Linked DNA regions of Cricetulus griseus. The protein of the gene in region 2 interacts with the protein of the main gene of each other region in a pairwise test. Links are inferred from orthologs where the notes say so. Each region holds a gene or a part of one and is shown on either strand. Other genes may lie near its edges. The genes, in order: Trim2, Tnik, Myt1l, Cnksr2, Wwc1, Sptbn1 and Golga4.

What was found.
Region 1: the proteins of Tnik (region 2) and Trim2 interact in a two-hybrid assay, tested with the Homo sapiens proteins (2 studies listed by BioGRID and IntAct). The link is inferred for Cricetulus griseus from reciprocal best matches to the Homo sapiens genes TNIK and TRIM2.
Region 3: the proteins of Tnik (region 2) and Myt1l interact in a two-hybrid assay, tested with the Homo sapiens proteins (2 studies listed by IntAct). The link is inferred for Cricetulus griseus from reciprocal best matches to the Homo sapiens genes TNIK and MYT1L.
Region 4: the proteins of Tnik (region 2) and Cnksr2 interact in a two-hybrid assay, tested with the Homo sapiens proteins (2 studies listed by BioGRID and IntAct). The link is inferred for Cricetulus griseus from reciprocal best matches to the Homo sapiens genes TNIK and CNKSR2.
Region 5: the proteins of Tnik (region 2) and Wwc1 interact in a two-hybrid assay, tested with the Homo sapiens proteins (2 studies listed by BioGRID and IntAct). The link is inferred for Cricetulus griseus from reciprocal best matches to the Homo sapiens genes TNIK and WWC1.
Region 6: the proteins of Tnik (region 2) and Sptbn1 interact in a two-hybrid assay, tested with the Homo sapiens proteins (2 studies listed by BioGRID and IntAct). The link is inferred for Cricetulus griseus from reciprocal best matches to the Homo sapiens genes TNIK and SPTBN1.
Region 7: the proteins of Tnik (region 2) and Golga4 interact in a two-hybrid assay, tested with the Homo sapiens proteins (2 studies listed by BioGRID and IntAct). The link is inferred for Cricetulus griseus from reciprocal best matches to the Homo sapiens genes TNIK and GOLGA4.

What each region holds. Positions count from the first base shown.
Region 1 is NW_023276806.1:70,244,562-70,248,061, forward strand, and holds part of Trim2 (tripartite motif-containing protein 2), read left to right. Parts: intron 1-2,055; coding exon 2,056-2,208; 3' UTR 2,209-3,500. UniProt on the Homo sapiens protein: UBE2D1-dependent E3 ubiquitin-protein ligase that mediates the ubiquitination of NEFL and of phosphorylated BCL2L11. Plays a neuroprotective function. May play a role in neuronal rapid ischemic tolerance.
Region 2 is NW_023276806.1:120,727,922-120,732,013, reverse strand, and holds the start of Tnik (TRAF2 and NCK-interacting protein kinase), read left to right. Parts: upstream 1-1,292; 5' UTR 1,293-1,700; coding exon 1,701-1,757; intron 1,758-4,092. UniProt on the Homo sapiens protein: Serine/threonine kinase that acts as an essential activator of the Wnt signaling pathway. Recruited to promoters of Wnt target genes and required to activate their expression. May act by phosphorylating TCF4/TCF7L2.
Region 3 is NC_048600.1:31,917,859-31,921,358, forward strand, and holds part of Myt1l (myelin transcription factor 1-like protein), read left to right. Parts: intron 1-3,031; coding exon 3,032-3,282; intron 3,283-3,500. UniProt on the Homo sapiens protein: Transcription factor that plays a key role in neuronal differentiation by specifically repressing expression of non-neuronal genes during neuron differentiation.
Region 4 is NC_048604.1:93,005,677-93,009,176, forward strand, and holds part of Cnksr2 (connector enhancer of kinase suppressor of ras 2), read right to left. Parts: intron 2,978-3,500; coding exon 2,904-2,977; intron 2,038-2,903; coding exon 1,966-2,037; intron 1-1,965.
Region 5 is NC_048600.1:50,876,423-50,878,675, reverse strand, and holds the end of Wwc1 (protein KIBRA), read left to right. Parts: intron 1-541; coding exon 542-663; intron 664-1,686; coding exon 1,687-1,753; downstream 1,754-2,253. UniProt on the Homo sapiens protein: Regulator of the Hippo signaling pathway, also known as the Salvador-Warts-Hippo (SWH) pathway.
Region 6 is NW_023276807.1:77,212,564-77,216,063, reverse strand, and holds part of Sptbn1 (spectrin beta chain, non-erythrocytic 1), read right to left. Parts: coding exon 3,393-3,500; intron 1-3,392. UniProt on the Homo sapiens protein: Fodrin, which seems to be involved in secretion, interacts with calmodulin in a calcium-dependent manner and is thus candidate for the calcium-dependent movement of the cytoskeleton at the membrane.
Region 7 is NC_048597.1:225,626,509-225,630,008, forward strand, and holds part of Golga4 (golgin subfamily A member 4), read left to right. Parts: coding exon 1-2,928; intron 2,929-3,425; coding exon 3,426-3,500. UniProt on the Homo sapiens protein: Involved in vesicular trafficking at the Golgi apparatus level. May play a role in delivery of transport vesicles containing GPI-linked proteins from the trans-Golgi network through its interaction with MACF1. Involved in endosome-to-Golgi trafficking.

The DNA.
Region 1 (3,500 bases), about 50 Mb from region 2:
TATTAAAAGAGACATTCAGGAATAGAGATGTATATAGCTCAGTTGGTAGAGTGCTTGTCTGGTGTGCACGAGGCCCTGAGTTCAATCCCCTCTACTGAGTAAGCTGATCGTGGTGGCATTGACTTGTAGTCTCAGCACACGGGAGATGGAGCCAGAAAGGTCAGCAGCTTAGGGTCATCCTTGAATACATAGCAAGTTTGGGGCTAGCCTGGACTACATGAGACCCTGTCTCAAAAGAGATCTCTACCAGTGGCCTCATTGTAGTGGGTAAGAGAGTCCAATATTTTAGAAGCCAGGAGCTGGACAAGTTACAAAGGCCCACAGATGCTGTTTGTATTTTGTGGTCCCATGATATCTACCTACTTACATTGCTTCTTAAAATGCCAAGTGGGCCAAGCAAAATGGTCCAAAGAAACCAACCTGGGCATTTGTAAAAGAGGAAATGTTATGAGTTGATTTGTACCTATTATTTCATCACAACAAAATCAGATAAACTTTTATAGTTAGGCAACTTTAAGCTGTTGCCTATCCAGATAGGCACATTGAACTATAGACTCCAACAAGGAAAAATGAAATCTCAATTTGTCAGTGCACATGTGACAGCCATTGTAATATAAGATGTACAACCAACAAGTTCTACATCAGTGCCTCCAGTCATGGAGGGAGCAGGGGAGAAAGCAAGTGTAAGTGGAGACAGAGTTGTGTGTTTGGGTCCTCAATAGGACACAGCAGATGGATTGAATGCACGTCACAAAGGGAGTTACTACATTGGCTTACATGCCTCAGATGGATGAGTCCAGCCATAGTCGTCTATATGTTGGAGAGACCAAGAAACTGGTAGCCTTCTCAGTCTACTAGGCTGCTGCCTCGGTGGTCCCAATCTGGCGTAGACTCTAGGCCCTAGAGCAGTGGTTCTCAATCTATGGGTTGAGACCCCTTAGGGGGAGACATATATCAAATATCCTGCATATCAGATATTTACATCATGACTCATAACAGTAGCAAAATTACAGTTATGAAGTAGCAATGAAATCATTTTATGGTTGAGGGTCACCGCAACATGAGGATCTGTAGTAAAGGGTTGCAGCATTAGGAAGGTTGAGAACCACTGGCCTAGAGGATTCTAAGAGAGCTTTGGGTCTTCTTCAGCCTGTGTTGAAAAGCTAAAGAATCTGGGTTCCAGCCGGGCAGTGGTGGTACAGGCCTTTAATCCCAGCACTTGAGAAGCAGAGGCAGGAGGATCTCTTGAGTTTGAGGCCAGCCTGATCTACAGAGCAAGTTCCAGGAAGAAGAAGAAGAAGAAGAAGAAGAGGAAGAGGAAGAAGAAGAAGAAGAAGAAGAAGAAGAAGAAGAAGAAGAAGAAGAAGAAGAAGAAGGAGAAGGAGAAGAAGAAGAAGAAGAAGAAGAAGAAGAAGAAGAAGAAGAAGAAGAAGAAGAAGAAGAAGAAGCTGGGTTCCTGTGAGCAAAGGTAGTGGCAGTAGCAACAACAAGGTGGATGCATTTACCAGCCACGACTGAAGGCAGTGGACCAAAAGCAATAACTTCTCTCTCAGACCTCCTTATGCCTGCACCACCACCAGGAGGTGCTGCCCATGCTGAGCAAGAATTACACCCCCTCCCCTCAGCTAATCTTTTCAGGAAATATACTTACGGATGTTCCTAGAAGCTATGTCATAGCTGTTTCCGGATCCAACCAAATCAACAACCAAGGTTAATCATCAAATTAATCATGAATCATGTGTGTACAGGGGCCTGCACAAACCTAGAAAGTTTATTTATTTATTTATTTATTTATTTATTTATTTATTTATTTATTTATTTATTTATTGAGACAGGGTTTCTCTGTGTAACAGCCCTGGCTGTTCTGGAATTCACTTTGTAGACCAGACTGGCCCTGAACTCACAGAGATCCACTTGCCTCTGCCTCCCGAGTGCTGGGATTAAAGGCTTACTCCACCACGGTCCAGCACCCAGAGGGCTCTTTACATACTTTTTAAAATTCATGTCCGTCAGCATATGTAACTTTGATGATGCTCTGATTTTATGTCTGTGCAGGTCTTCGATGGGAGTGGCTCATTTTTGTCCTATATCAACACATCGGCTGACCCTCTTTATGGCCCCCAAGGCCTGGCCCTAACTTCAGATGGCCATGTTGTGGTTGCAGACTCTGGAAACCACTGTTTCAAGGTCTATCGGTACTTACAGTAACAGCGGACACCCCTGCACTGAGGTCTTGCACTAGAAACTGGAACGGAGTTTTCAATGTGGGACCAGATTACAATAGGACTTTTCATACTAGGAAGAACCTTTGGTGAACTTTCCAAGGTTATTTCTGAATGTAACGATTTCCTTAAAAACTGCTTATCCAATTCCGTAATTCACTTTTAGGATTTAAAGAGAACCTCTTCTATTGAATCTATACAAGCTTCGAAGTTTTACACCTGTGAACTATGGCTTATAGGACAGGGATTTATGCAGTTAAACTAATTTTGCAAATCAGACATTAAAAGAATTAGCATATCTGTTGACCGGTGAATGAATGGTAGCCTTTGCATCGAGCTTCCAAGAACAAAACTTGTAGTTACCTATTTTATTTAACTTTGGTCACAAGACCCAAGGGACCTTCTAACCTCACTTTTACAGTAGATGTTATTACTGGTGACTTTTTGGGGGGTGGTTATCAACAACCATATATAAATTACTTTAGAAAAATCTAAGGCTGTCTTGCAAGATCCTCCCAGCTCTGACTCAGGGCCCTCTTGAGTTGAGCCCATCAGAATCAATGCAAATTTCCCAACCTTTCTGGGTTCGATCAAAGATCTTTTTCGTGTGTTCTCTTCACCTTCTCTTTCTACTCACCTTGCATCAGAAAATGAAATATAGCTTCAGGAAAACCTGAATTCCCGATGCTTTGAAAGGCATATGGCAAAAGCAAGGGGGACCTCTTGGTTGTTAGCTTCAGATCAACACACTGGGATGTAACCAAAAGAAGTCATGTTCATGCCATGTGTTCACATGTCTTTCCTCTTCCACATCATGAAAGCGAAAGCTTTACCTCCTGTAAAATGTCAGCACATGTAGTCAGACACCAGTGTCCTAGGACAGAGAGCCATAAGCAGCCCTTTGGAGGACAGATGGTGTCAACCAAAGGCATGTGATTGATTAATGACTTCCCCTTAGAGAACAAGTGTTACCAAAGTTCTGTTGAGCATTACAGGTACGGGCATGTTATGGTTATTTATCATTGTCTAATGAATAGTAGAGGCATTAAGGGACACGTATACATGGTTAGGGTAAGATAGAATGTATTATACATTTTATATATATATATATATATAGCTGAATCCATGGTGTGTGGAAATAGGAAGCACTCTGAAAGACAGCAGCATTGCCCAGCCTCCTTCAGCACATAACCTTGCTGCTGCAGTCTGAAGCCGTCCTGGTGGAGTGAGCCCTACAGCAGTTTTGAGTGTTGCCATTTTCCAGCACGATGCTGATGC
Region 2 (4,092 bases):
GCAGCAGCCCAGGTGTTGGTGTACACTTGTAATCCAAGCACTTGGGAAGTGTTTGCAGGAGGATGAGTTCAAGGCCACCCTTAGCTCCACAGTGAATTAGAAGCCACGCTAAAGTACATGAGGTCCTTCCCCCACCCCCAAAGAAAGCAAAACAAAAAGCAAAGTAAAAACCCAAACCCGCAATGCAATGCACTTGTTCTCTTGTCTTAGATGTGAAAGGAACACCCTAGGAGCTATTGATGAAGGGAATGGAGAGAGTTCAGTATTAATGTCTTCTTCAAACGTATTTTGCGTGGCCAAACCAGGAGAGAGGAAGGTCTGTGGGGGCTGGGGAAGTGATTTCACATTTTTGATAACAGAAAGTCCTGTTACCACTGCAAACACCCAGCGTTTGAGTTAAAAAGCAGGTGAAGTCAAATTGCTAACATGTCAGCTCTTCCTCTCTCTGAGCTAAACTTTCCCCATCAATCCTGGTAGGTCACCAGGGAAAAGCAGCAGAGAAGGAAACGCTGGCTTTGGCGGCGGAGTGTCGCCCAATTAATGTCGTTCTGGGAGTCACCTGAAGCCTTCCAGCTACTGCACCCAAGGAGCAAGCTTTGCTTTTCAATTCGGTCATTTCCATGGGGAATTGCGGTACGCGCAGGTCTTGGGTGTGGCGATGTCGAGACGGAGCTCACATCTCCAGGCTTTCCACCTTCTGGCCAACCCACCCAGCTGAGAAAACTACGGATGAAACGGACCTGCCTTCCTGAAACTCAGGGACCGCGAAGGACCGAGACCAGGCGGCCACTGCCCAGCGCCAAAGCCAGGCTGCGCGCTCCGCGCGTGTAAGCTTCTCCCCAACCCGCTCTGTGCGGGGAGGCGGATCCCCTTTCCTGCGCACAAGTCCTTATATGCACCGGTTGCACCGGCCCGCCTTTACTCCAGCCCCACAAATAATTAATGGAGGAGGCTGGACGCTGCTGTCTTTTCCCGCTGCCTTTCCTCACCACCCTTTACACTATTAGAGCATCTGAATCCAGTCAAGAAACCCCAAGATGCGATCGAAGGGCCATTTTGGTGCATTGCACAAATTGGACACATTAAAAAATAGCCTTCGGATCTCTGTACAGCGAGGTTCAAGATCTGCTCTTCGATTCAGCACTATTAACCCGCAAAAACTGGGACGGAAAGGGTGCGCGCCCCTCCCCCACCCAGGCTAGTGCAGAGGGACCCGGTCAGGAAGCGCGGCCTCTCCCCAGTCGGAGACCACGCCTCCTCCCCCCCACTCCTCCCAGGAAGCGGTGATAGACAGTTCTGTGTGGTTCTCCACCCCCACCCCCCCAGCTGAGTGGAGGAGTTGATATGTCTCATTATAACAGCCAATGCAGCCGCCATCCACGCACAAGCAAAGAAGCATGTCCCATTTAAATACACCCACGCAGCCCCAGCGCCCTTAGCCGATCAGGGCGCGCAGCCCACACGCACCGCGGCTCCGGGCTTGGAGATCCGCGCAGGTCGGGCTCCGGGATCCCGCGGATCGACACTCTCGGAAGATCGGGATCTCACTCTGGTTGGGGCCCGGGTGGGCGGGGGAGGCTGGGCCCCGGGCCTCTCTGGCGGACAGCCGCATGAGGACGCGAGCGACATAGACCAGGGTGGAATTGCCAAGGCAGACGTTTCTGGCTGGTTTTGGTCCATTTCTCCCGCGAAGAGTCGACATGGCGAGCGACTCCCCAGCTCGCAGCCTGGATGAAATCGATCTCTCCGCCCTGAGGGTGAGCAGAACGTGGTTTTTTTTTTTTTTTTTTTTTTTTTTTTTTTTTTTTTTTTTTTTTTTTTTTTGTGTGTGTGTGTGTGTGTGTGTGTGTGTATGTTTGTTTGTTTTCCCCCCTTTCTTTTCAATGGTCTGGGGCTGGGCGAGGGAACGTTCCCGGTCTTCCTATCCTGATTCCAGGGCAGCGGATGGGGTTCTAGGCTGAGCCCCTACCCTACAGCAGGGGCTGGGCTGCCCTTGTGCTCCTCGACTGTGCTTCCCGAGGCTCCGCAGGGAAGCCGGTGGAGCTTATGTCAGTTTCATCTTCGATTGGTGTAAGAGAATTACATGGAAGGAGTGTGTGTGTGTGTGTGTGTGTGTGTGTGTGTGTGTGTGTGTGTGTGTGTGTGTGTGTGTGTGTGTGTGTGTGTGTGTACCCGAGCAACTGTCTCTTGCCAAGGCTCGAGACCCGACTGCTCTTTGCTGCAAAAAGAATTTCCTCAAGAATAAAGGCACTGGCCTCTCAGGTTTGCCAGCTACCTGCAAGATGCCATCGTGAGTCTAGCTGTCTCCACCAGCCGACCCTGTCGCTCCAAGGGGGCAGTAATTGCTGTTCCGGGCTGGTCTAGTAGATGGCAACTGACCCCTCCCGGGTTCTGCCTCTGGTGCGGGGGCTCAGGCTCAGCGCTTCCCTCGACGCCAGGGTGCACTCACCTTTATCTGCGGTTTGAACTCAGCCCTGCCTATGCCTTTCTAACTCGGTGACTGTGACCTTTCAGTTTTATGGCTGAACTTCAGCAGGTGAAAGGGACGCTTTAGCAGCTTCTCCCTACCACACCGGAACTCCCTGGAGAGACTGTGTGTGCGTGTGTGTGTGTGTGTGTGTGTGTGTGTGTGTGTGTGTGTGTGTGTGTGTGTGTGGTTCCCGGGTCTGTGACCAGTCCTTTGTAGAACACCTTCCCTTCCCCCAACTCTGCCGCTTTGCCTTTACCTTCTTCCGAGACACCTCAGACGTCGTTCCATTGTATTGAATAAGACTTTAGTGATCTAGAATCCATTTTGCTGTTGTTTGGAGATCATACTGCCAGGAACCCCATTGCAGCTTCGACGCTTCCCCACCCCCACCCCTAATCCCAGCACACTCCTTCGGGGAAGGGAGCCCAGCGTTCTTGCCATTTTAATTAGATGCTGCCTGCCAGGAAGGGGGTAAGGAGGGGTGGTGATGGTGGCAGCAGCAGGGATCTGAGAAAGATTGGACACCAATCTCAGTACGACTAGTTTCTTCCTCTCCTGAACTAAAAATAAAATAAAGAGCAAATGCATATGCTTGTTGCCAGTAGGGTAGGTGAGACTGAAGGGATGGTGGCTCATGTCACCGACTGTCAGTATAGGTGGAAGTTGAGTGATCTTCCTGAACACATTGTTAGATTGATGATGCTTAATCTCGAGGCCATTTACCTGTGTCTCGGAAGCTTTTCCTGCAGTTACCTCTTTCTCTACAGACATTTTTAAAAGGTAGCTACCTGTCTGATTGAAGTGATACTTTTTCCTTAGGCTCAGAGCCACTTTTCCGCCCACACCTTGAATCCTTGGCCCTTTCCTTATCTTTTGGTCCAGAAAGGTGGAGGATTCAGAGAGGCAGGCTGAGGACTGACTGACTGCCCTTTGAAACCGGCTGCGGGCTGCAGTGATAGTGGAGCAGCAAAAGCTCATTCATGCATGATTACAGTAGGCTGTCCGTTCCTCTAGTGCCCAAAGGCCACATCCGCAACCAGGGGGCAACTGAGTGTGGGGGTGGGGCTCAGAGTGGGTGCTTTGGGCCAGTGCATGTGTGACTCTCTTATCACTGTGCTCTCTTTTGCTCCACTTCTGCCTGGACCAGTGGCCCAGACTTGGGGAAGGAGGAGTGGCCAAGTGGTAGCTGCCTGAACAATGAGCCAGGCTTGTGATTTAGCTGAGACAGAATCTTAGCATCATTCTCCCTGACATGATTTTTAAGTTGGGGGGCGGGTGTATGGCTCCTGTGGGCCAGATTTTCTGAGATGCCTAGCGCACAGAACCTGTCCTCAGGGCTACTAGATTCTCATTCAGGGAGACCTGTGTCCTGTAATCTGTATTTGGAACAGGTATCTTTGCATGATTCACTAGGATTGCTCTTTGTCACCTGGGAAGCTCAAAGGATCCTCTGCCTTCACTGGGGTATGCAAAGAGCTAGGACAACAGCTACTCCCTGTGCCTGGGAGCTGATGGCTGAAAGACTTCTGCAGATGGGCAGACAGTTGTACTCAGCAGGCCTTGGAGCTTCAGGCAGTCTTGTGGTGGGTGAGGCGTGCAGGTACGTTTGCCTCCCAGGGCTA
Region 3 (3,500 bases), on a different chromosome or scaffold from region 2:
AATGTAAGCACATGTGGCACTCAATGTGGCTGCCTGGCTATCAACCACCGGTGGCCTCTAGGGTAGAAGCCTTCACATTCTCATTTCCCATCATCTGTTGGCACCAAGGATACACAGTTTCATATGAAATAGAACTTTTTTTGCTAAGAAAAATTAAATGCATTATGCCACTGTTATTCTGGTCAGACATGGGGGAGGACAGTGACAGGAGCATCCAAGTAGATGCCCTCACTATGCAGTACTTCGGGCCTCAGCACCATGAATGAATGCCTTGCTGAGTGTGGCCTTAGTGACTCAGACTGACAGTTCTGTGGATATCAGCAGTGTTAGCAGGATGAAAGACATTGCTTTCTTGAATTACTTAAAGTACAGGTACTGTTAATTTCATTTTGCATAAAACAAAAATTATTAGACCCAGTAAAAGGAGCAGTACAGATGTGAATATCACCCTGGTTGTATGCCTGATGGGAATGGGCAAGTGCATAGAGGATTTACCAATAGTTCAGTCACCTCTAAACTTCTGCACTGCCAAATTGTCAGAATGCAGGCATCATCTCCATGACTTAAACCCCTAGAAAAGTATAGGCACCAACATATTTACACTTACAACTTCAAGATAAAAGAAAGTGATCAAAGTAAGATGAGAGAAATGCAATCATTTTTAAGATTTATTTTAGTAAAATGTGGCCCACAGATGTAGTGTTTTGGGCACATGAAATGCTGGGGCAGTACAGGACACAAGGCTCCTGGACTACAGCCCGGGTGCTTCTCTGTCTGCTGTGGCCCTGAACAGCCCTGAACAGCCTCAGTGTCTGTATCTGAGAGATGGATCTGCAGCAGCGTCAGTCCACAGGGAGGTGGGAAGTTAGAGAATCTGCCATATTTGGCCTGGGAAGCAATTACCACGGGACAGGATGCTGCAGGCCAACTGCCTGCTGTCCCTTAGCTCTGTGCCCACAGAACTGAATGGGAATGCCATCCTCTTGCTCTGACATAGCCTTACATAGTGAGACCCTGTCTCAAAAATGAAACAAGAAGATACCATGTTGGTTTTTTCCTGGACGGGTGACTAGCCTTCCCCATTTAAAAAGAAAACAAAATAAAACCCTCTTGGAAAGTGGTAGTAAATGCCTATAACACCAGCATTTGATTTGTTGGGTAGATGCAGTAGGTTCTTCAGGTCTAGACCAGCCTGAGCTATGTGGTTAGCCTTATCCCAAAGGCACCTTCATATGTGGTATTGAATTTTTGTAGTATTTTCATGTCTTGTTTTTTTATCAAATATTTTGATGATGCAGAATCATTGAGTTGACATTCACATTTCAAAGCATGGCAAGTGTAACCCTCATTGCCCATGTGTAGGCCTCTGCCTGGTGCCCCTGTACAGTTCTTTGTTCAGTCACTCAGGCACCCTGGTGTAAGCTGTGCTTGGTCTAAATCCACTATTCTCACACACATAGTTCTACAGTCATACTAATGGAACTTACAAAAGAGAGAGCAGAGAATGAATAGGTAGCCACTGAACCCTCATCCTACCCAGTGCAGGAGTTGCCCCTGTGCTTCTCTGAGGCTGATTGACTCACTAGCCCTGCAGAATTAACAGTGTGTCCAAGTGGCTGATGGCCCTCCATGAGCTTTATTGGAAACTGACTGTGGTCCCTTGGAAGGAATCTGGATGAAACAGTCGCTTATGCAATTTGTTTCCTAGTGTCCTGGGTGACATTAGAATGGGGTGGTCACTCTTACCCCAGGATCTGGTCATCATGGCCTCAACTGAAGTAACCTCAGTTTTATTAAAATGTTTTCCCATTACCATACCTCCCCCGAGTCTTTAGCAGGCAACATTTAATCGAGACTCACATTACCAGATAGGATTATTTCACTATGGTTGTTCATTTGTGTTTGGAGATGTTATAGTATGACCTACAAAGCCTGTGTTAACTCTTTTTAGAAGGTTTATGGTTCATTTTGTGTATTTTTGTCCTTTTTGGAGGACAATTGTCAAGATCAAGCTCTAGGTACAGAGCAGCTAATGACCCCAAGGCCTCAATCCCAGAGAGCAGTAGCCATCCACAAGGCTTCTCACAGGTACAGGTTACTACAAGAGTGACTAAGGTAGCTATTGCCTGTGGGGGAAAGCCCTAAGCATTGCACTAGCCTAGCCAAGCTGGTCCATGTACATGCCTGACCCCTAGTGCCATTCTCTGCCCCCTTAACAGTTCCCTTTATGTATTTCATCACTCTGAGGAGGGTAAACATGGTATCTCTATGTTGAATATCTAGTCTTGGTGAAAATGAATATCCTGTGCACTCAACTAGAAGTGCTTCTGTGTTAGTGAAAAGAACCCATCCTAATGAATCAACCTTGAAGGAGAGACATGTTAAGCAGCTCTGAAAATTAACCCTCACTCCCAAGTACTTGGTGGCTGCTTTTGAAGGTGCTGGCATAAAAGGAAGCTGATCAAAGGATCTGCAAGGAAAGACCCCCTGCAGGCAGATGAAGAGCTGACCCAGCTGCCCTCTGGTGTCCCACATTTGCCAGGGACAGATAGTTGTCCTTAGGTATATGCCAAGCTCACTCTTCCCTTTAACTCTAGAAGCCTGTGTAACAATTACAGGATAGAAGTGTTTGGCTCACAATATCTGGTACACATGCCATACCAGAAACTTTCTCACAAAGCCCATAGTCCCCACAGCCTTAGTGATGATTCTTGGGTATCCTGAGAATCTGGGCCAACTACACATATGGCTAGAAAGAGTGGTCAGACTCTTAATGGATCAGTCATGTATAGTAGCCAAGTCCTGTTTACCCAAATATGTAGATGGTGCAGCAGTCATGATCAGTCAAAGCAGGGCTGATCCTCTCACAGGGTCACCCCCAATACTCTGTTCATTCAAGCATGAACAGTGTAGACTGGGAAGAATGAATAACCCCCATTTCTGTGTGTGTAAAGATGGGTGGGTTGGGACCAGTTTGTGTGTGCAGCATCCTGAGTGCAGGGCCTAACCACACTGTCCTCTGTCTCTCCAGCCAAGCGGTACTGCAAGAATGCCAGCCCCAGCAGCAGCACCACCAGCAGTTATGCGCCCAGCAGCAGCAGCAACCTCAGCTGCGGTGGTGGCAGCAGCGCCAGTAGCACGTGTAGCAAGAGCAGCTTTGACTACACACATGACATGGAGGCCGCACACATGGCAGCCACAGCCATCCTCAACCTGTCCACACGTTGCCGTGAAATGCCACAGAACCTGTCCACCAAGCCCCAGGACCTGTGCACCGCCCGGGTATGCCCAGGACCTCAGCTGTGTCACGAGGGAGCTGGCTATGAGTTGACTCGCTGCCAGCCCTACAGCCCTGTACCTCAGAACAGTGGACAGGTGTCTTTGTCACCTCTAACTCTAGCTTGTGTCTGGGACATTAACACAACCATCACCCATGGCCTTTATGATATCTCAACTTCAGGGTACACAAAGCCAAAAAAAAAAAAGGTGCAGCTTGACAT
Region 4 (3,500 bases), on a different chromosome or scaffold from region 2:
TCTACCAGGAATCTTAGTTAAAAGGACACACACACACACACACACACACACACACACACACACCACACACACACACACACACAGAGAGAGAGAGAGAGAGAGAGAGAGAGAGAGAGAGAGAGAGAGAGAGAGAAAGTGCACATATCTGTGTATACAGATTTTATGGAAAAACTGAATTTAATGAATACTTTTATACCCTAATTACTAGGTCCTGTTACTACTGGCATTACATACTTTTGAAAAAAATTTAGAGTACAAATATATATTATTTTGTACTGTGCTATAATGTAATACAAAAATAATGCCCTTTAAAGCCATAAAATAACCAGATAAAGCATGTATTAACTATGATTATGTTCATTTAAAAATATATCCTCTCTTGAATTAGGCATGCTTTCAAAGATTACATATGGAATAAAGCAATACCCACATTATCTTGTTAATGTATAATAATAATCAGGTAACCAAACAAAGCTTTACATGGGTACCGTTCCAGATCACTACTAATATGTAAATGTTTTTAGCACTGACTATTTTATCCCATTAACAAGCATTTTTTTTTATATTTTTGGTTGTGAGCCTAGCCTTTAATGACTGAGCCAGATTATTCCCCATGGAGAGATACTCTCTCACCCTAGACACATGGGGGGAGGACCTAGGCCCTGCTCCAAATGATATGACAGACTTTTAAGATCCCCATGGAAGGCCTCATCCTCCCTGGGGAGCAGAAAGGGGATGCGATAGGAGGCCAGTGGGGGGTAGGGGAGGAGGGGAGGAAGGGAGGAGGAGGGAACTGAGATTGATGTGTAAAAGAAGCTTGTTTCTAATTTAAATAAAAATTTATAAAAAATAATTTCATCAAAAAACAACAAAAACTCAAGTGTTTTTAAAAATTGCCTATTGAAAGTAAATACTAGGGATAAAACCATGAAGCAGCACAATTTTGTGCTTAAAATGTTCAGGTATCATTAAAGGCATCTAAAGAAAAGTAAATGAGGTAAGAGAACAAAAGTATATAAACACTAATGCTTATTACTACTGAAGACTTAGGTTGCATAAAAAAAACCTACTAAGGGCGATTTTTCTCATTTATATAAATGGGTCATTTATTTAGTACAGAAAAGCTAAGTTTCTTGCATAAGGTTACATAGCTAATGAGTTGTAATCTAGGATTCAGTCTTGTCTAAAAGGTCACAGTTCTGGTCACTAGTCTTTGATGCCTCTTCCTAAATGTAGGGAAATTATACACAATATACATTGGCTTCTGCAATTATAAAACGGAGGACATTTTCATTTTATGCCCAGTTTCTATAATTTTTTTAAATAGAAAAGGAAAATGAAAGGAAATAAAGAAAAGTAGCTTTAAATGACTAAAATTGTATCGTGAAACAATGTGGGATACAAAGAGGAAACTATACGTAGGTTTTCCTTTAGCCACCAAATAAACACAGCCATCAAACCAGTTGGCTATATAAGCCTGTCCAGTGACAGATGAAGGTGATAAGAAGAATTACTACATTAGATAGTAGACCTAAATTATTGAAATGTATATTCTACCAAATATACTTAGGACTTGAGTAAGTCAGGTTTTGTGTGCCTTTTAGAGAATTTAGAAATACATGTTAAGAAATCTCCTTAAATTTAACATCTAAAAACAACCCCTTTTGTGGTAATATTTTGGATTTATATTTGTTATCGTACTTTTGTGTTAGAATTGACAGTCAACAAAAGTTGAAGTTCTAAAATGTTATCCATTATTATTATTTAAATATGAATTGTATTGTGTGCATGTGAAATTTAAATAATGAATTAGGCAATTTTTTGTAAAATGAAGTATAATCATATGCAACTATAGCTGGACTACTCAAATTTTCATTAATTAATACAGAATCTACAATGGGAGTCTTTAAAAATTATTGAAGACAATGCTTAATTAAGTAATTTGAGATGTAAATAATACTTTACCTGTTCATGTCATCAAGATGTTCAGCAGCAAAATAAAAGCTTTTGATTTTAGGATGGCAGGCTTTGAATGCACTGTGAATATAACCACAAAAAATGAGTTACATTTACTTCTTTTTGGTTTTTTGAGACACGGTTTCTCTGTGTAGCTTTGGAGCCTATCCTGGCACTCGCTCTGGAGACCAGGCTGGCCTCGAACTCACAGAGATCCACCTGCCTCTGCCTCCCGAGTGCTGGGATTAAAGGTGTGCACCAATGCCTGGCTTACATTTACTTTTTTACAAAATGTAAAAAGGTTTTAATTCAAATACCTTTAAAATTTTGTATTAGAATTGGGACAGGCAAAAGAATGTGATCAATATATTGCCTGAAAAATTTTTAATAAAATTATAATTTGAAACCTGTATGGTGGCACACACCTTTATCCCAGCACCCAGGAGGCAGAGTCAGACAGACCTCTGTTCAATTCGAGGCCAGCTTGGTCTACAGAGAGTTCCAGGACAGCCAGAGCTACAATGTGAAACTCTTGTCTTGAAATAAAACCAAAAGTATTCTATTTTGTTTATTTATTATTAACATTATCATCACTGGTGTTTTTATGTATGTGCACATGCCAAAGAAAAGCTTTTAAGAACTGGTTCCCTCTAACCATGGATTCTAGGATTGAATTTGGGTCATCGGGATTGCATGTAATCATGAGACATCTTGCTGGCTCAAACTAAATATTTATGAATAAAATTAATGCAATGTCTAACCTAACTTCACATACATAATGCTTCTATCATGACAGAATTAATTAAGTAAAATTTCATGCTATATCCCTGAAACTACTTTCTTATAATTTTAATTTCAAAGCTTCTGCTAAACTATAACTTAAAATCTAGAAAATTACAAAATAAATTATCCCTTCTTCCCCCTTTCTCCAAGAAAATTTAACTTACTATTTCTTGCGGCATTCACTGGCTCTATCAATTTTAAATTCAGGCAGACTGATGAATCCTTCTGCTTTTTCATCCTAAACAAACAACATTTTTGTTAATGTATAATACCAACGAGGTCTGAAGCTAATTAAACCATGTAAGTATGACTTAAATATTTAGAGTAATAAATGTGCTACTCATTTAGTTAATAATTCCACTTGCATTTCATTAATTCTACATATCCACAGTTTAAAGGAATATTTTGAAAACTTAGAATTTCTAAAAATTAAAATACACACATTATTTTTATATTAAAATGAGTATAGAAAATAACTTTCAAAGTAAAACATGTTTTATAAAAAATTTTGGGGGCCGAAGAAGTAGTTTAGTGGTAGAGTGCTCATTTGTGCAGGAAGTATTGAGCTCTGGGTTTGATCTTTAGAACATAAACAACAACAAAGTAAAAGGGAAGAACATTTCAGGCCAAATAAACAAAATAGCTGTACATTTTTAGTACAAAATTTTCTATCATTTTAAGAAGAGGAATTTATGTGTAAGACTTGTTTTTTCAGAATGCATGTAAGAGCATCATGTGCATGTCTGTTGCCTGACAGAGTT
Region 5 (2,253 bases), on a different chromosome or scaffold from region 2:
GCTCAGTCTTAATTATCATAAATCTATATATTTTATAAGACTTATCAGACGCCTTATTGGCATCCCTCCTTGCCAGTGGATCACATTGTGCTGCTGGAGGAGGAGCAAGGGGAAAAAGGGACCCTTCCTGTTTCTCCTTCGCTTAAATATGAGTCTCCTTGCTATGTCACTTCCTGCTTGGATCACCACTTCTCTACTACATTTTCCAGAATCCTCTTTGACTCCTAGTCCCGTCTAACTAGCTGTCTCATTGGTCAAACAGTATTTTATTTAACAATCAATAAAATAAACATACACAGTACATTCCCCATCAGGTAAGGATGTACACCTCCCCGGGCATTTCATCTCATTTCCTACAGGCACACATAGGACTTCTGTTCCCTGGCCCCGTGCTCAGGCCTCATAGGTAGATGATGTGAGCACAGCCTGTTATCCTTCTGCATAAAGCAGATCCCATGGTACAATTTACACTGCTGAGAGCAAGCACTACAGAGCAGAGGACTCTCTCCCATGTCAAACCCTTGTTTGCTTTGCCTCACAGGTCGATCGTGCAGAACATAAGGGTGAGCTGCAAACAGATAAGATGATGAGGGCAGCTGCCAAGGATGTGCACAGGCTTCGAGGCCGGAGCTGTAAGGAGCCTCCAGAAGTGCAGTCTTTCAGGTGAGTCGGTGATCCCAGACTGATGCCTTCTGCTACCCAGTCAGCCCATCTTTACTGGCCTCACTGTTCCCAGACCGTGTTCCTGGGCATTGCCTCTGTTGCTAGCGGAGCTGTAGCCTGCACTGGAACAGCTGTTCATTCTCTGCCAGGCTCCCATAACGCTGTGAGCACTGTGTGCTGTTATCTGTCCCTGCACAACTCAGCCCAATTTGTGAGATCCTGTTGTTTAATGAATGAGCCACCTGCTTCATCCTTTCCTCTTAGCCTTCTGGTACTGGTAATTGCAGAGGCCTGGCTTGTGATGCGGGGGAGGGTGCTATGGATACTCACCTAATTTCCTGGCTTTGCCTGCCTGCCTGATAGGATCACAGCTTTATCTTTGCCCTGCTGGGCCTACACATATCAGAGGAGGGTCACAAGTGCCATTTGGCCTGGGCCTCCCAAAATAAAGGGATTTAGTCACCCTCCATCCACCACATTGTGAGTTCAAGGCCAACCTAGGGTTTCATGAGACCGTGTGTGTGTGTGTGTGTGTGTGTGTGTGTGTGTGTGTGTGTGTGTGTGTGTGTGTGTGTGTTGTGTTTCCTGTGTTGATCAAAAGATCTAATGGGTCCTTAACCAGGCATGATTTTGTCTCTTGTGTCACTGCAAGGGACATCTGGCAACATTGATACTTTATTTTTTTTTAAAGGTGGGTCTATGTTTCTAAGACTTCAGAAACATGGACTCGAGATATGTTTCTCTATCGGCCTCTTTTGTTTCTGGGACCAGAGACCTGTACCACTATGCTCAGAGTCTACAGGTTTCAGATTTTATAACCAGAGTTCAGACATGCTAATAGCATTTAGTAGCAGCCAGAGCTGTCACTAAATATCCTACAGTATATTGCAAAGAATGACCCAGCCCAGGGATTGGGACGTAGCTCAGTGGCAGATTGTGGCTTGGCATACATGATGCCCTGAGTTTCAGACCCAAAACAGAAAGACTTCCGAGTGACCTTGAGACACCTGTTCTCTATCACAGGGAGAAGATGGCATTTTTCACCCGGCCTCGGATGAACATTCCAGCTCTCTCTGCAGATGACGTCTAACCACCAGAAAAGTATTTTTTTGTTTCACGGACCATGCTGTGAAGGTTGACTGTGGCTAAAGTTATTTATGAGGCATTATATGAAGGTACCAAGTCACAAGTCCCCAAGCGCTCTTGTTGGTTTGAAGATGACAGACTTTTTAGTTCAGGTTTTCTTGTTATATTTAAACAATGACATAACAACAACAACAACAAACCAAACAAACAAACAAACAAAAAAACCAGCATTAAAATGACAAGATTGTATAGTTTGTATATTTAGGAATGTATTTTTGGGAAAGAAAATTTAAATGAACTAAAGCAGTGTTAAGTGGCTGCTAGTCTTCAAATTGTCTAGAGTTTTCTTTTTGTACAGCAACAACTTTTAGAGATTTCCCTGCAATAAAAAAAGTCATGTTTGGGGAACGATAACCCTCAAAAAGAAGTGCTGCAGACGGCACAGCACAGCTAACCTGCCCTAGGTAACGTATTTTGTACAATATTACAAAGAGGAGGATGTAC
Region 6 (3,500 bases), on a different chromosome or scaffold from region 2:
AATGAAACAAATGAAATGTACAGGAACACAGACAGGGTAGCTGAGGAAAGGTTCCCCACAGGTACCCTGAGACGTAAAGACATTGTTTTGCAGGGGCACATCTAGGTATATTCTCCTTGACTGGCTGGGTGTGGTAGCACACACCTATAATCCCCAAACTTGAGGTAGATGCAGGAGGATCAGGAGCTCAAGGTCACCTTCAGCTAAATAGTGAATTCCATGCCAGCCTGGGCTACATAAGATCCTAACTTCAAAAGCGGGTCGGGGTGGGGGTAGGGGGTGACAGATGGCTCAGCAGGTAAAGGCATGGGTCATATAAGCGTGATGATCTGAGTTTTAATGTCGAAACGCACACACAATGGTAGAAGGAGGGGACCAACTCTAGAGTTGTCATCTTACCCACACATGTACAGCTAAGGTATGCATGCCTCCACAACACACACCAATATTTCTTTTAAAGTTAACACTCTTTCTGTGCCAAAAGGGTGAAAAACAGGCTATCACTTTAGATAATGGTGGGGGTTTTCCATTATAATAAAACCAGTGACCCTTCTTCCTTCCTTCCCTTCCCTTCCCTTCCCTTCCCTTCCTTTTTTTGAGACAAAGTCTCTCTTCTCTATCTTTATGTAGCCCTGGCTATCCTGAAACTCACCATGTCAGCTGGCCTCAAGCTCACAGAGGTTTACCCGCCTCTGCCTCCCGAGTACTGGGACTAAATGTGTGTGCCATCACACCTGCTGACTATCTAATACTTAGATGTGTATTTTTACTATGTTGTATATAAAACACTTAACATATTAGCAGTGTCATACATTGAGACACAAACCCGACATTTTCTGGAGATAAAATTATGTGACCAAAGTCTACAGACAATAGTCCTGGATGAGCCTTTGGATGTCTGTAAGAAGTAGCTGGAAAAATGCCAGGTAAGGACCTTCCAGGGACAATGAGATGGGGACACCCAATGCTGTGAATTGGGAGAAGGTAGACTATGACCATTAATTGTACAAATGGATTTTAAGTGGTGGCAAGAACATGAAATTTCTGAAAAAATATACACAGAAGAATCAATGGGATTTGGTTTACACATCTGAAGGCACTGGGTGTAATGATTTCACTAGACCCATGATAAATGATAAATGGGTGTTTATTGGGGACACTTACACAGAAAGATATAAAGAACCATGGAAGCACTTCTCTCCCCTTCCCTCCAGATCAGCTGACCCAAGAGAAAAGATCTGTGCAAGAGAGACCACACTTTAGCTTCCCTCTTTCTGCTTTAGTCTGCCTGAAGCCACACCCAAAGGGGTGTGGCCACCATTTCAGGTTGACAGGCAAGACACTGACTGCTACACACATCTATGGTACTTTGAGAAATAGTCTCTAATACCAAACTACTTTTAAGGTATGTATTTCAGACTATCATGAGCAAGTTTGTAGGAAATGACTTGAAAATCAATTTTCCTATCATCCAAACATCCAAATCATCATTTCTTGTGTCTGTTTTTTTTTTTTTTTTTCTTATAGATTCTCAAAATAAAAGGTGGGAGAAGCTAACACAGGGAAAATTCACACAGCAATTAAGTACTCAAGACTGTTCCTGATTGACTGCTCCCTTCCCACTGCTGTACCCCTATATGGAATGGAAACAGTGGCAGGTCAAGGCAGCACAAGAGAACACAGCCAAACAGACGAGGAGCCTGTGCCAGGGCCGCCTTCTCCTTTGTACTGATTCGATAGGGGAGTGCTTGCAGGAGGGACACACATCTTTTTATGGCTCGAAATTGCTTTCTCAGTGAGATGGTAAGGTAGGTGCAATCCAGCAGGCTTAAGGGAGTTGGTTTTTGTTCTATGGGTATTAAGACTCACCATTCTCGTGAGGCAAAGCGATTTAAATAAAAACAGGAAACCACTTTCACCATCTCTTGAGCCTCCTATAGTTCTAAAGAAAATAGTTTTACAAATGCAGAGGAAAGATCTGTTTCCTGATAGTCTCTAGGTATCTCAAAAGTGCTCCTTAGCATTTGTTATATGACTGGGACAGTGTCAGATCTTACCCTAGGGCTTATGTCTTACAAGAATTGTTTCAATCCTCAAAGCATCAGGAAACTAAAGTGTAGAGGAGTAGGTTAACTCCCAGCCACAGAAAGTGGCAGAACCAAGAATCTAAATGGAGGTCAGAAGATAATGGCAGTCACGAGGATCCCTCCACAGAACAAGTCAAAGTACTGGCGCATAGTGAAGCTGATGATACTCAACTGAAACCACCAGGGCCAAGTGTGGGCCTTTATTGGTGGGGATGTGGGTTAATTATTTACTGGAACATAGCCTCTGCCCATTCATTTACCCACTGGGTTGCTTATCCTAAAACAGCAGCACAGCATCTGTATCCAATAGAGATAGCATAGCCACAAAGTCAAAACTATATACCATCTGGTCTCCTACTGACCCTGCAGTAACCCGTTTTTTTTTTTTTTTTTTTCTTAATAAGTCCTGACCAGCTCAGGATTAGAAAGTCAAACAAAACCAGCTTCTTCTCTAGAAAGCATTTTCAACTGCAAGATCTCAGACTAATCAGGAAGCTACCGAGATTAGAAGGCGATGAGAGTGATCACATTGGAGTCTCACTGCTACACTGTTCACTTTGTCAACACCTTTGAAGCACAGTTTCAGTGCTAAGCCACTTACTGCAGTGCTGGAGCTAAAAGATCAGGTGTGTTAAAACGTTAGGGTCTAGTCTCTACTAGGAAGAAGATCCAAAGAGAAAAGAAGAGATCTTGGGGATAGGGATGAGGAGAAAGTAATGAAATATATACCACAAGAAAGCAGAAGTGGGGCCATCTGAGGAAAGGAAGGGAAGTAGGGTCAGGGAACAAGGAGTGGGGCAGTGGGGAAAGGGGAATAATGGAAACAAATATAAAACACCCATTTATCAATATGACTTCAGATTTATCAATTTGTCTGCTAACCTAAAAAATTAATGAAAATAATCAATGCAGAAAAATAAACTAATATTATTCAAATAAAAAAGTATAGATTTCTTTCTTGGGATGGTTGGTGGGAAAAAAATGAGGTATTATTTTCCAAGTGATCCTGATGGTCATGTTAACTAATAGAAACTTGTATTCAGGCCTATTAACTTGCAAATGCTTACATGTGCCTCTACTAATTTAAACACCAGCATTTTCATCTAACAATATTTGCAAGCATGACAAATTCAAAACTGTACAGACTGCAAAGCTTTCCTGTGTGTGGAGTTTGTGTGTACACACGTGTTTAATCTGGGTAGTCATTTCAGATATGTTCTGAGTAGCCATGGGATACAGAGAGGCTCATGATGCACAAAGATAATCTTACAAGGAGCCTTCCTTGCACTGGGCAGCTCCACCCACCTGAGTGCCCAGAGCCTGGATATCATGCTCAAAGGTGGTGTGCATTCTCTGTAGGGTCTCCACAGTGTTCTGATCTCGTCCAAGCTCCTCAGGGAGTTTCTTGTGTTT
Region 7 (3,500 bases), on a different chromosome or scaffold from region 2:
TGCCCAAATCCTGGAAATGGCACAGGCCAACTCAGCGGGGATCAGCGACACCGTGTCAAGACTGGAGGCCAACCAAAAGCAGCAGATTGAAAGCCTGACCAAAGCTCACCAGCGAAAACTTGATGACGTCACAGAGTGCTGGGAAAAGAGACTCAGTCATCAGGCTGAAGAATTGCGGGACCAGCATGAGCGGCGCGTAGAGGAGAAGGAACAAGAGCTGACAGAGCTGAAGCAGAAGCTGCTCACACTGGAGTCTGAAAAAGAGGAGGTGAGCAAGGCAGCTGTGGGGCTGAAGGAGGCGGCTGCTAAGCAGGGTGCGGTGCTCACACGTCTGCAGGAACAGCTAGAGCAGAAGTCTGCCCACATCGGCTCACTTTCTCAGAAGGAGGCGCAGTTGCAATCACAAGTTGAAAAGCTGGAGATGGATCTGGGTTGTTCTCTGAAGGAGAAGGCTTCTCTGGAGAAGGAGCTGGCGGACCTGAAAGTGCTGAGTGAGAGGGGGAGGCTCAGGGTCTCTGAGCTTCTGAGCAAGGTGCAGGCTGCAGAGGAGGAGCTCCGCAGCTGCAGGGCTGCTCAGGACAGCAGTAGGAAGAGCCTAGAGGACAAAAGCTTGACCCTCAAAACCCTGCTTGGGGAACTCGCATCTCAGTTAGACAGTCGCTGTGAGAAAACCAAAGCTTTGTTAGAAGCTAAAACAAATGAACTGCTCAGCGTCAGCGGTGACAAAACAGATGCCATTCTCTCTAGGCTTTCGCGCTGCCGGCAGCACACCGCCACAGTTAGGGAGGCACTGCTCATGAAAACAGGCCAGGTCTCTGAATTAGAAGCACAGCTTAAACAGCTGACAGAAGAGCAACACACACTCAAGAGCTCTGTTCAACAGGTCACCCATCAGCTGGAAGAAAAAGAAAACCAGATTAAGGCCATGAAGGCTGATATCGAGGGTCTCGTCACAGAAAAGGAAGCCTTGCAGAAGGAAGGAGGCCAGCAGCAGCAGGCGGCCTCTGAAAAGGAGTCTTGCATCACACAGTTGAAGAAAGAGTTATCAGAGAACATCAATGCTGTTACACTACTGAGAGGAGAGCTTTCGGAGAAGACGGCTGAGATTGACAGCCTTCGCACACAGCTCAGTGATCTCAGTGCTCAGCTGGAGAACAGCGTCAGCCTAAGTGACAAAGCAGCAGCCATGTCGTCACTGAGCAAGCAGCATGAGGAGCGACAAATGGAGCTGCAGGGTCAGCTGCAAGAGCTGTCTCTGAAAGTCGACACTCTGAGTAAGGAGAAAATGTCTGCTCTTGAGCAGGTAGATCATTGGTCCAACAAGTTCTCCGAGTGGAAGAAAAAAGCCCAGCCCAGATTCGCACAGTACCAGAGCACTATTAAAGACTTGCAGACACAGCTTGACGTGAAAGCCAAGGAGGCTGCTGAAAAGGGTGAGCAGATACAGCTGCTGAAGGAAGACCTTGATCAGCAGAATGAAAGACTGGAGTGTTTAAAGGCTGAGGTGGCAGACAGGAAGAACGAGATGGAGACGAAGGAGCGGGACTTAGAGGCCGAGTTAAAGGTGCAGGCGGCTCGGGTTGTTGAGTTAGAGGACTGCATTGCTCACAAGAGGAAAGAAGTTGAGTCCCTAAATGAAATACTTAAGAATTCCAACCAAGAGAAGGACACTGAGCGGAATGAACTGGTTCAGAAACTTCAACACTTTGAAGAGCTGGGAGAGGAGAAAGACAACAGGGTTAGGGAGGCTGAGGAAAATGTCCTGAGACTAGAAAAGCAAGTGTCCTCCCTGGAGACTGAACTTGGAATTATGAAGAAAGAGCTAGAACATGTGAGTTCAAGTGTGAAAAGCAGAGACGGGGAGTTAAAAGCTTTAGAGGACAAGCTCGAGTTAGAAAGTGCCTCAAAAGTGGAGCTGAAGAGGAAGGCGGAGCAAAAAATCGCTGCCATCAGGAAGCAGTTACTGTCTCAGATGGAAGAGAAAAAACAGCAGTATGAAAAAGATACAGAAAGCCAGTTGAGTGAGCTGAATGCAAAATTACAAGACAGAGAAAAGCAAATTCACATCCTGGAAGAAAAACTTAAAAACCTAGAAAGTTCTCTACAATCGGAGACAGTGATTATGTCCAGATCCATACAAAATGTGGCAGCATCTTCCGAACAAGAAGCAGCAGATTCCCAAGGCTGTACGCACAAGGCGTGTGAAGAAAGGATCCTCGCACTACAGAGAAGATTAGTTGAAAAAGAGAAGCTGCTGCACAGGTTGGAGCAGGGCACAGGTGAGTCGAAGTTCTCTCTGTCTGAAATGCAGTTCTCCATGAAGTTAGACCACACCCAAGCCAAACAACTGGACGATCAGATTTTGATAGGACGTCTTCAAGAAGAACTCGAAGAAAAGAAGATGAACTGTTCCTTCATTGCATCCCAGCCCATGGAAGAAGAAACTGGTAAAAACAATACAGGAATGAAGCAAAACTGGGCAAGTGTGGTTGACAGTGTCCAGAAAACCCTCCAGGAAAAGGAGCGAACCTGCCAGACCCTGGAACAGAAGGTAAAAGAACTGGAGTCAGACTTAGTAAGAGAGAGGGACTCACATAGACTTGAATTGGAGACGTTGACCTTAAAATACGAGAAATCGCAAGCCTCACAGCAAGAAATGGATGGGAAAAATAAATCTGTGGAAATTTTGGAAGATAGTTCTGAGGAAAATTCCAAATTGCAGGTGATCCAACCGAAATTGGGGAATAACATGGACACCCAGCGTAATGACCTGGAGTTAAAGTTAGCAGGGGCAGAGCGGGAGAAGCAGAAGCTGAGCAGGGAGGTGGCTAGGCTCCAGAAAGATCTTCGTGTGCTGAGAAAGGAGCACCAGCAGGAGCTGGACATCCTGAAGAGAGAGTGCACGCAGGAAGCGGAGGAGAAGCTCAAGTGAGTGCTGTTCCCACCTGGGTGGGTGGGTGCTCGCACGCACACACAGTCTGTAATGGAGACACGTGTATCTTCCCAAAGCGTTGCATAGATCCAGTAAGTTAAATGCTAAGGAGAAATGAAAATTTGGGGCAGAAGGCAGTGTTATTCCATGTTCATTAAGGGGACACACCTTGTCTTGCGGGTAAGATCGCAGCTGCTGGCTGCCTTGTCTTGAGTAATGGTCTCATTGTTGGCTGTCTTTAGCATAACACTGTGACAGTAACATTCATGTGTAGTGAAGAAGTTTAAAGTGGGAAAGAGCCGCTCCCCCGGCCCCAGGGTCAGTCACTGGAGGTAGTCAGGGTTTCGGTATCTCTAGTTTTCTCTACCTGGACACACTCACACTCAAAATTGCCTCCCTAACAGTGAGAGCACATTGTGCAAACTGCTTTGAAACCTCTTTGTAACTTGCTCTTTGGAGGCAGCTGTCACCGCTGTCCACTCTTGTTACTCAGACAGGAGCAAGAGGATCTTGAGTTGAAACACACTTCCATCCTGAAGCAGCTGATGAGGGAGTTTAATACCCAGCT